Kluyveromyces lactis: one gene and its partners. The protein of the gene in region 1 purifies or fractionates together with the protein of each later gene. This does not show direct contact. Links are inferred from orthologs where the notes say so. Each region holds a gene or a part of one and is shown in the gene's direction. Other genes may lie near its edges. The genes, in order: SHO1, MSB2 and OPY2.

Region 1 (2,930 bases):
CCCATGGGTGGCTCTTATCACGCCAGTTTCACATCACTGCAGTTACGTTGATCATCGTGACACCGTTGTGTTTCATTAAGAAGTTAGACTCTTTAAGGTACACTTCTTCCATTGCAATTACAGCAGTTGGGTACTTATGCGTATTAGTTGTCTTCCATTTTGCCGTTCCAAATAGCGAAATCGACCATTTAAGAGGCCATGTTAGCATCTGGAAACCCAGTGATGTGGATTCATCCATGCTAAGCAGTTTTCCAATTTTCGTTTTCGCGTATACTTGCCATCACAACATGTTTTCCATCATCAATGAACAATCAGACAAATCTTTAGACAGTATAACGAAATTGATTAGGATTGCCATTACGCTAGCAATGTCTTTGTACATTTCCATTGGAGCGCTAGGTTATTGCACCTTCGGTGATCATATTACTGGTAACATTATCACCTTATACCCAAACTCCATTTCCAGCACCATCGGTAGAATAGCTATAGCATTGTTAGTGATCCTTGCCTTCCCGCTACAATGTCATCCAGCTAGAGCATCTGTCAATCATATCTTACATTACTTCTCCAAGGGGAACACCCATCCCCCAATGACAACCACAAGTGCAGAACAAAACAGTCTATTACGGGACTCTGAACTCGAATCTAGCGAACAGTTAACCTACGAATGCGAAGACGAATTAATTGAAGAAAACAGCGCTAATCAGCCTCCAGTAGTAACGTTAGAAGGCCCTAGATTCATCTTTATCACGTCTGGAATCCTATTATTTTCGTACATCCTCGCTATGAGTGTTACGTCGCTAGCAAACGTTTTGTCAATAGTAGGAGCAACCGGATCCACTTCTATATCCTTCATCTTACCTGGAATATTTGGCTACAAGTTAATCGCATCGGAGTACGCCAAATCCGTTGTACCACCAGCAAAAGAACGAATCTTGAGAATTATCTCATTGTTACTTGCTATTTGGGGATTCATCGTCATGATAACTTCACTAAGTGCTACCATATTTCTACATGCGACACATTGAGGGTACAGGATAAACAGGGTACTAGAGACTAACCATTGATACTGCTACCAATTGTACTCCCGATTGACACTCTAAATAAGCGGCCCGCGTATTCCTAGCGAGCCTTTGGTTGCTGCCTGTCACATGATCAAAAAATAACTCATCTCTCATTGTAGACAGACACCAAAAAAAATGATAAATGTATACCGTATATACATAAATATAAAAAGTAATCAATACGAACATACTTGAACTTGAAGCAAGTTTATTTCAATTTTAGTTGTTGTGTTGTCACAAGTGTTCCAATAGTCCAGCGAGGCAAGGGAATATCTGCAAACAGAGAGATGGCGTTGATTAAAGCAAGTCAAGCCCGTGCTGTAAGGGAGAATCCGCATGTATCTCATCAATTTAACATCTCGTCATTTTTGGGCGATCCTTTTGCCATAGGCACACTTAGTATTGCATTGATCTCATGGATCATTGCATTGGCGGGATCCATTGCTGTTGCAGCATCTACGTCTCCATTCCCAAGATTTTCTTGGTGGACTATAGTTTACGAGATACTACTAATGATTACGCTTTTTATCGTGTACTGTTTGGATTTAGTTGACTACTATAGAATGTTCATTACTTGTGCTGTTGGTATCGCATTCGTATATACTTCGAATAGTACTAACAGTATTGTGTACTATGAAGGGTCCAAGAGTGGTGCAGCAGCAGCAGGATTTATCTTGTTATCCATGATCAATTTGGTGTGGGTGATTTATTTTGGTGGAGATAATGCATCTCCAACCAATAGATGGATCGATTCGTTCTCACTACGCGGAATTCGTCCTTCGGTGCTAGAGACATCCATGGCTATTGCCAGATCGCAGAGACTGCCGGTCAAACCTTCTTACCCATACCAATACCAGGAAGACTTGCGTTCAGCATCTCTGCCTGATGTCCACCACGATGACGAAGGTGAGGGCCACAGTGGCAACATGTATGCGCCAGAACTTCAATCGTCTACAAAGTATGTGTCGTCTACAGTGCTGAACGGATTTGAAAATACAGATCATTCCTCTTCGAAACCAAACCTTGATGTTAATGCGCAAAATACTGCTACACTGAATACACAGGCCACTGGCACTTTCATCACAGATACCACCAATGCCAACACAGATACTACCATGGGAGACACATTAGGCCTATACAGTGACATTGGTGAAGAATTAAACAGTTTCCCATACACTGCAGAGGCTTTATATACCTATCAAGCGGACCAAACTGACGCGTATGAAATATCCTTCGAACAGGGCGAAATTCTCAGGGTTGGTGATATCGAGGGTAGATGGTGGAAAGCCAAGAAGTCAAACGGGGAAACAGGGATTATCCCAAGTAATTACGTTAAGCTTTTGGATGGGAAATCACACTGATTTTATTACTGCCTCCCATCAGTTTGTATCATTAAACATTTGATTTGTGTATCGTCTTTTATATTATATTATTTCCACAGTTTGCAATAACAACCGGCTTATCAACCTTATTCGCGAAAAATTCAAGTGCTTTTATCAACACAGTTACTGAATTCTTCATTAACACGCAAATACTTGCTTCGAATGAATCATGCTATTTAATGAATATGCTATTATTTATAATTATACTGCTTGCAAATCGCTTCAGGTGCTGGTAGTATAATAAAGTCTTCATCTCGAGTAAGAACTTCAAACACATCAATCTTAATAAAATGGGGACCATCCCATGTAAATTGTCGCTAAATTTTGTTTGTCAGTAGCACTGGACAAAAGCTCCTGAACAATTGCTTCAACGCTCAAACCGTCTCCATATAACTTACTTTCAACTCCCTTTAGTGCTCTTATGGATTCATCATTATTATTATCTTCTTCTAAAAGCTCGCTGAAATCTGCATCGGAAACACTA
Region 2 (4,316 bases), on another chromosome or scaffold:
GAAGAGGACCGTAAACGGGAATCTGAAGAAGTACCAAAGAAAAAAGCAACAGAAACAGAGCCAGAGACAGAACTAGAGCTAGAGCTAGAGCCAGAGACAGAGACAGAGACAAAATTGGTATCGGACGCAGATGCGACAACGGCTGCACCAAAGATTAAATTAGCACTAAAGAAATCCATTGGAAAGACAAAGAATGAGATAGAAGAGGAAGAGACTCCTGAAACCGATGCGTTCCAACAGAAGTTGAATCTACTAAGGGAAAGCGGCGTAGTGGAAGAACTCGTCAAAGAATACTTGGGAGTTTACGAGCCCGACTTAGTCTCATATATCTTTGAAAACATCGAAGAACATCAATCGAAACAGGCACTCGAGACTGAGCTTACAGAGACGTTCGACGAAGATAGCCCTGTCCTAGTGAGCCGTATATGGGAAGCGATGGAACAGTAGTGGAATATACCATACATGTGAATATACATATATATGTATATGTAGGTATGTGTGTCACATGTCTAATAATGAGATTCTATTACCCGGTTACGTCTCACGTGACTGTCACGAAATTTTTTCGCCCGATTCGAGTGTTCCAGCCAGATCGGGCGGTAACATGAGGTTACTAGAGGTCCGGGTAATCGTGTTTCATATTGATTCGCGTTTTGTATATCGTATATAGCGATACATTCTCAACTTCACCAATTTTTTACCAGATCCAGAACGGTTACAGGAAGAATTGGCAGGATGAGATAAACAAAGGAACAAACATAGAGATTCTATTACTTGTAACTTATGTACACACCTGATAATGGTGGAATTTAGTTTCTGTTTTCGTTCGGGTTGCTTTAGGCAAAAGATAATAAGTTTTTAGATTCGAGATTTATCGTCAGGGTCAAACTTTTCAACAAAGAACGTTACCAGTGGTAATATTTTGGTGTATACATCTTTCTTTTCTTTGTGTTCCTCCATTCATTCATTTATTGATTCATCTCAAATTACTTATAAGTTTTTTATACATTTGATAAGAAGGATCTATTAGAGGTTTTTAATAAAGAAAGATTATCAGAACTGACCTACTGATCCAAATTACCTTCCAATCCTCAGTCTTTAGGAAACTGCCATCGTTTGTTTAGTGAGCTTATACTTTGAACGTGACAAGAGCTTCAGGCAGGTTGAAGTGTACTATCGATCTCTGTTTTTTTTTTCCCCGTCCCATTGTTTGGTGATATAAAATTATTACTTATTATTACGGATTGCCGGTTTGTCATTAGAAAACTTTGAGAATCTCAGGTTTGAACTAAGGCCTTCGGCAAAACTTTGATTACTTTTCCAACTATTTTACATTCTTTTTTCATTTGATTTCATTCGCTTAACACGATGCAATTTTCCAATTTAAGGTTTTTGTTAACCGTTATATTCTTGGGCAACTTTTTAGTATCTGCCCAAGGATTCCTGGATTTTTTCCAGACTTCTCGTTCTGATAACTCTACTAGATCCATTCAGAGTACCGAGACCAGTTCCAGCACTGAGAGCAGTTGGAAAACTACTTTGAATTACGATTCATTGACAGTGGCAGAACCATCCACGTTCTCGCTTTCTTCAAGCACGCACTCTAAGAGTCGTACGAGAAATGGTAATGGCGATGATGATTCGAGTAGTACTTCAGGTACCACTTCTGTGTTGACTCCTTCATCGATCACCTCTTCTGCGATCTCACGTTCTACCAGTGGAAATGGTATCCCATCTTCTGAATACTCGGCTTCCTCCTCGAGCACTGCAAGCGATTCTGCTAGTGTAACTACTCTATCCGGTTCCTCCGCTCTTTCTTCTGAGACTACCTCTTTTGGGACTTCTTCAGCTGAAGATTCTTTTGTTACGACAACTGTTACTGAAACAGGTTCTGCTGAAAGCAGTAGTGATACAGCTTCCTACATCACCGATTCTGCTTCTCAGGTTTCTTCTTCATCAGTCCTCTCGTCCGTGGAATCCTCTTCTACTGAACCATCCACTTTTTCTGTTGTAACATCATCAATTGAGCCTTCTTCAACTGAACAAATTACTTCTGATGAAACGTCCTCAAGTGATGGTGGATATTTCGTTACAACTTTCACTTTCCCTCCTGTTACTTCTTCAACTGAATATTCCACTTCTGATGAAACGTCCTCAAGTGATGGTGGATATTTCGTTACAACTTTCACTTTCCCTCCTGTTACTTCTTCTACAGCATCTGACGAATCTATCCCATCATCAACTACCGATGAATCCACTGGTATTCAATTCCCCACTTCGCGGTCCACAGATGTTTCTTCGACTACTGATGAATCAACTGGAATTTACTTCCCTACCTCAAAATCAACAGAAGTTCCTATATCCACTACTGAGTCCACTGATAATGATTTCTCCACTACAGAATCAACAGAAGTTCCTATTACCACCACTGATGAATCAACAAGAATTTCTCTCTCCACTACAGAATCGACCGAAATTCCTACCACTACGGAAGAACCAACTCCTTCTACTACAAGTGCCGACATCGTGGAACCAACTACCACTGAAATTCCATTAAGCACTACTAGTTTGGAACCTCTACCAGAAAGCAGTACCTCAGAATCTATTCCAGAGCCTTCAACCAGTACTATCCTCACGGAGGAAACATCATCATTGCCAATTGAAACTTTATCGACTTCTGAACCATGGGCTACTGATGACATTCAAATCTCTTCATCAGTGTTACCTCCATCTCAAGATGTTGTCTCATCAGAAACAGTGGTTAGTACATCTGCTCCATCAACAGATACTGAGACATTGGCTCCAACAAGTGCTACTACATCACTTCCAAGCATTGTTACCAAACCAATTGAAGAACCATCATCAAGTACAAGCCAGGTTGGAAGCACTTCCGTAGTTTCTACCGTTGAACCAGTTGTTTCACTACCTTCCACTACTACAGAGCAGCCAGTGTCCACAACACAACAAGTTTGGTTGCCTACTACCATGGTAGCAGAATTCGAAACATCTGGTACTCAATCTACATCTACCACATCTTCAAAGATCGCTACTGAAACATTGCCTCAAGCTATTACAGCTGCCACTGAAATTGTGCAACCTGCAGGATATACGCTAATTACCGTTGGATTCAAGAAGGAGTTGAATTATCCATTTACTGTCAACAATCCCGTTTCTAACGCTCAAATTTTTGAATTTTTGCCAAAGGTTTTGAACTATCCCTTCAATGGGGCCCAAAAATTCGATAATACTTCAGTTTTGGAGTTAGTTCCATTAAAGGTTACAAGTTTAGATTACCTTGTCACTGTTGCAAAAGTATATTTCCCAGAAGATTCTGTCTCGACTCTTCAAGCGCAGATTTTGAACTCTTCCAGTGTCATTTACAATAACGATGTAACAGCATTAAAACAGCTTTCATCGTACATTGATGCCTCTATTCCACTAACTGGTCTTGTCAGTTCAGATTCTGGTTCCTTAATTTCGTCAGATTCTGACTCTGGATCTGACTCTGACTCTGATTCTAGCTCTAACTCTGACTCTGACTCTGGCTCTGGCGGATCTGACTCGACTAAAGAGAAGTCGAGCAGCGGCAGTGCAATTAACTTGGGTTCCTTAGACGATCAAAACTACAACCCAGGATCAAGCAACTATTCCTCTAGTAGTTCAAGCAAATCTTCTACAGGTACGAACGGGAAGACCATCGGAATTCTGGTTGGTTCCATTGTCGGTGGTTTCTTGATAGCCTTGGTTTGCATCTGCTTACTTGCAGTGAGAATTAGAAACAAGAAGAAGCAACTTCAAGCTAATCCAAATCTAGATGACCAACATTCTTACGACAGTTATGATTACGAATCTTCGTTCGATTTTAATCCAGTTGTTGAAAAAGGTAACGTTATGAACGACGACCAGGTGTCAATCAGCCCAAGTGCTAAGATTAATAACTGGATTGATTATAACACTTACAGCGATTACCCTGAAGATGCTGCTTCTGTCGCAAATAATGGGGAAAAACAACCTCAACTTTCAACAAAGACATCTAGTTTGAAAATTTCGAAACCAATTGCCACAGAAAACTCATTAGGTTGGAATGACTTGTAATGGTAAAATTTGATTCACCGATCTTGTATTCTGTTCTTGCTTTTTTCTCCACTAAATGATACCCACGAGAGGGTTGCTAAAATGGTGCTCGACCATTTGCAACACCGCTTTGCTCTATTTTTTACCGATTACGTCCAATAAAGTCAAATGACTAATTGGACCAATGTATTATTCACTAAAGATTAGTATTGTGAAAGTTCGAAACATCAATACGTATTTCA
Region 3 (3,088 bases), on another chromosome or scaffold:
ATTAAAGAATGCAAGCGAATACGGCACATAAAACATCTAACTAGCGGGATTTAGTCTCTTATAAGTTATTAATCTACGGTTCAAGATTGAATCCAGGAAGATGATACCCTTTATACTTATATAGTATCACAAAAACATGAATTAGCTCAAGATATCAATTGATTTCTTCGTTTAAATTAGAATGACAGAAAGTACTTTAATGTCCCGCAGCCGCGATCAGGTACAGATATGTATTGGGACTGTATCGTGAACCCGTTGACTATTTCTGTGTTAACTCTGTGTACGCTTGTAACCTTTTAAGTTGAAGGGGAGGGGAGGCACAAGTGACAGATAATCTGAGTTGCATAACGTATTACCCGGTTGCACCGAGTTACTTTCAAACAAAACTGAAAAGTTTATACACACGTGACACAGAATTCAGGAATCCAAGCTCGAGAATTTGAAAACATTCAGGATCTGATCCGCTCACTCTTTTCTTTTGGAAAATCGCCAAAAGGAAAAGGAAAAGGAAAGACGACTGGCTAGCTTAGAACGGGAAGTACCAAGAGCCATGTATTCAGCCAGAACGTGCAATGAATATGATAGCTAGCTGGATTTTCCAGTGAACGGTATGTGCTAATTGCAATGAAGGTGGTATTGGGTAAGTGAGAGGCCTTTACAAATGAGGAATTTCACGTACTACGGAAGCGGTGAAGTATTTTTCTTGGGCAATGTAAAACAACGTTCAAAGAATTTAGAATTCCGCACGTTGAAACGCTGACGCGATCCAAAAATATAATAGTTTAAAAAGAATCTGAATGGGGTTGTTTCTTGCCTCAGAGGCCTGTGTATTCTATTCCAAAAAAAAAAAATCAGTCGTTTTATAAATTCTGGAGTTGGCCCAATTACAGGCATACATTACAATATAGAATAAAGAGCAGTTTCAATAAATCCATTAGTCAATCAGTTAAAAACTTTTGGTTCACTTTCAGTCTTCTCTTCGAGTTTTGTATTTTCGGTTTTTTTTTTTGGTTCTTCCATAGACAGCGAAAAATCAAAGATTCCATACAGATATCATACTGAACTACTTCCAAAATCTGTTGTATCTGACAAGGAACCACAAGGTCTTTCCACCATCCACCCTTACCGCTAGCTCTTTCTCTATTGTCAAGATAAACAGGGCCATTCCCGGTTTAATATTGTCTGTTGACTTTATATTCATTCTGCTCATCGCGTTCTTTCAGCAGCAGAGCTATTCACCATAGAAGTGATACTGAAATATAGTTTTGGCGATCTAGTACCGGCTTGAAAAATGTCGGAAAGCGTATCCAGTACTGTAAGCAGCAGTGTGTCAAGCACAGCTTCAAGTTCTAGCACTAGTACTGCAAGCTCCGGAACTTCGTTGCAAGATGGTTGTGTCACTTGTGATAACAATGTAACGTGCCCGGAATGTGATGATGATGAGTACTGTGTCACAACATCATTAACGTGCACACAATGCCCAAGAACCTATTGTCAGAAGAAGGCATCTTCAAGCAGTAGTAGTGCATCATCATCATCGTCTGCGGCTGCTATTTCTAGCGGAGCGTCTTCTTCGTCGTCCTCTTCCAGCAATAAGGTCGGACCTATTGTTGGTGGTGTCGTCGGTGGTGTCGCATTCGTAGTCATAGTCGTGGTGTTGGGCTTCTTGTATTACAGATATTATAAAAGAAAACGGTCTGCATTGCCCCAGGATCCCGAATATATGGAAAAAGGTACGAGTCTTGATCCAAACGGATCATCACCGCTTCATCCAGGCATGCTTCGTGTTGGCTCTTCGTCATCACGCGTCAGAGAAAGGAACAAGAGAAATAGAAGTAGCGCTGCCACCGTTCAGACCAGTACCGCATCAAATATCATCCCTGTAGCATATATCCCAGGTGTCACCACGAATCTAACGAAGAAGAATTTGAGGAAAGGCCAAGGAAGAGGTTCAAGAAGATTTTACCAGGATTCAGATCGAAAGTCACATATTACATTGGGGTCCAGTATTCTTGGCGGTGATGAAGATGACGACGACGAGCTCCAACAGAACTTACAAGATTTGAACGAGGAAGAAAGCGGTTCATTTGCAGGGAATAATAATAATGGTGCGGGTGCCACGAATAATATGACTACTGCAATCCGAGCTAGACCGAAATTGGTTCAAATCGATGAAACTGCTGAGGAAGATGAAGATGAAAATGCGAATCATGGAGTAGATCAAGAAGCTGAAGAAGACATCGAAACAGAGGCTAACGAAACGGGCAATACCGATAATCCATCACATTTCAGAGAGACGAATGTTCAAGACAACTCAATTGGTCATGCAGGACACGGCAATGAATCTCAACAGCAACAGGAAGAAGAACAAGGACAAGGGCAACAAGGAGATATACGACACTATAGAAATAGTATGGACTCCTCCAATTCGGACTCACGTGATCCGTTCCATACCACCGTGCATTCATCATCTGACTCAAACAGCGAGGGATCATTCATCTTGGACGTGGAAATGGCAAGTAATCACCATTAAACATGACTACCACTTTCCCTTCCCCACTAATCTTTGGTAACACACCAGTTGTACAATTTTAGATACAGTATGTAATAAGACCTGTTATATCGGGCTAATTCTTGTCAGGAGCACCTGCGTCCTTCGGTATATATGCGAGCCTTTTCCCCCAACAAGCCCCGCAATATACCATAAATCAACGATGCTCTATAAGTTTCCAAATAGAATGTAGGATCTACTGAACCCTGCATGTATATGTCACTCGATCATGTCACAATCTGACTACTTAAAAGAACGTCTCTTAATACGCAATTTTCACTGCCAACATGATTTCCAAACGATATTTGCCAACGAACCAAGAATTATCGGTCCAACTTCGAAAATACTACCTATCCACAGTGTTTTTATATATCTAAGCTATGCTACCCTGGGCTACCCTAGGCTACCCTACCTATATGCTTCCCGTCCGATCTTCGATTAACTCTTAAATCACAATTGCTCACCCAAACATCACATCAGCTTATGCCAAGGGTACAGGCCCTCCACAGTAACCGGAATAACTTACGTCGAACCAAA

Evidence for each region.
Region 2: the proteins of SHO1 (region 1) and MSB2 purify together in Saccharomyces cerevisiae (affinity purification with western blotting; 4 studies listed by BioGRID). This does not show direct contact. The link is inferred for Kluyveromyces lactis from reciprocal best matches to the Saccharomyces cerevisiae genes SHO1 and MSB2.
Region 3: the proteins of SHO1 (region 1) and OPY2 purify together in Saccharomyces cerevisiae (affinity purification with western blotting, with the first as the bait; 3 studies listed by BioGRID). This does not show direct contact. The link is inferred for Kluyveromyces lactis from reciprocal best matches to the Saccharomyces cerevisiae genes SHO1 and OPY2.

What each region holds. Positions count from the first base shown.
Region 1 is NC_006041.1:628,426-631,355, forward strand, and holds SHO1 (osmosensor SHO1), read left to right. Parts: upstream 1-1,351; coding exon 1,352-2,425; downstream 2,426-2,930. Other genes in the region: AVT5 (amino acid transporter), read left to right, coding at 1-1,028; DNA-binding protein kinase TEL1, read right to left, coding at 2,729-2,930. UniProt on the Saccharomyces cerevisiae protein: Plasma membrane osmosensor that activates the high osmolarity glycerol (HOG) MAPK signaling pathway in response to high osmolarity.
Region 2 is NC_006039.1:1,596,099-1,600,414, reverse strand, and holds MSB2 (Msb2p), read left to right. Parts: upstream 1-1,368; coding exon 1,369-4,095; downstream 4,096-4,316. Other genes in the region: SNU71 (Snu71p), read left to right, coding at 1-447. UniProt on the Saccharomyces cerevisiae protein: Plasma membrane signaling mucin that promotes activation of the MAPK for the filamentous growth pathway. Partially redundant with the SHO1 osmosensing branch for the activation of STE11.
Region 3 is NC_006038.1:796,477-799,564, forward strand, and holds OPY2 (Opy2p), read left to right. Parts: upstream 1-1,291; coding exon 1,292-2,533; downstream 2,534-3,088.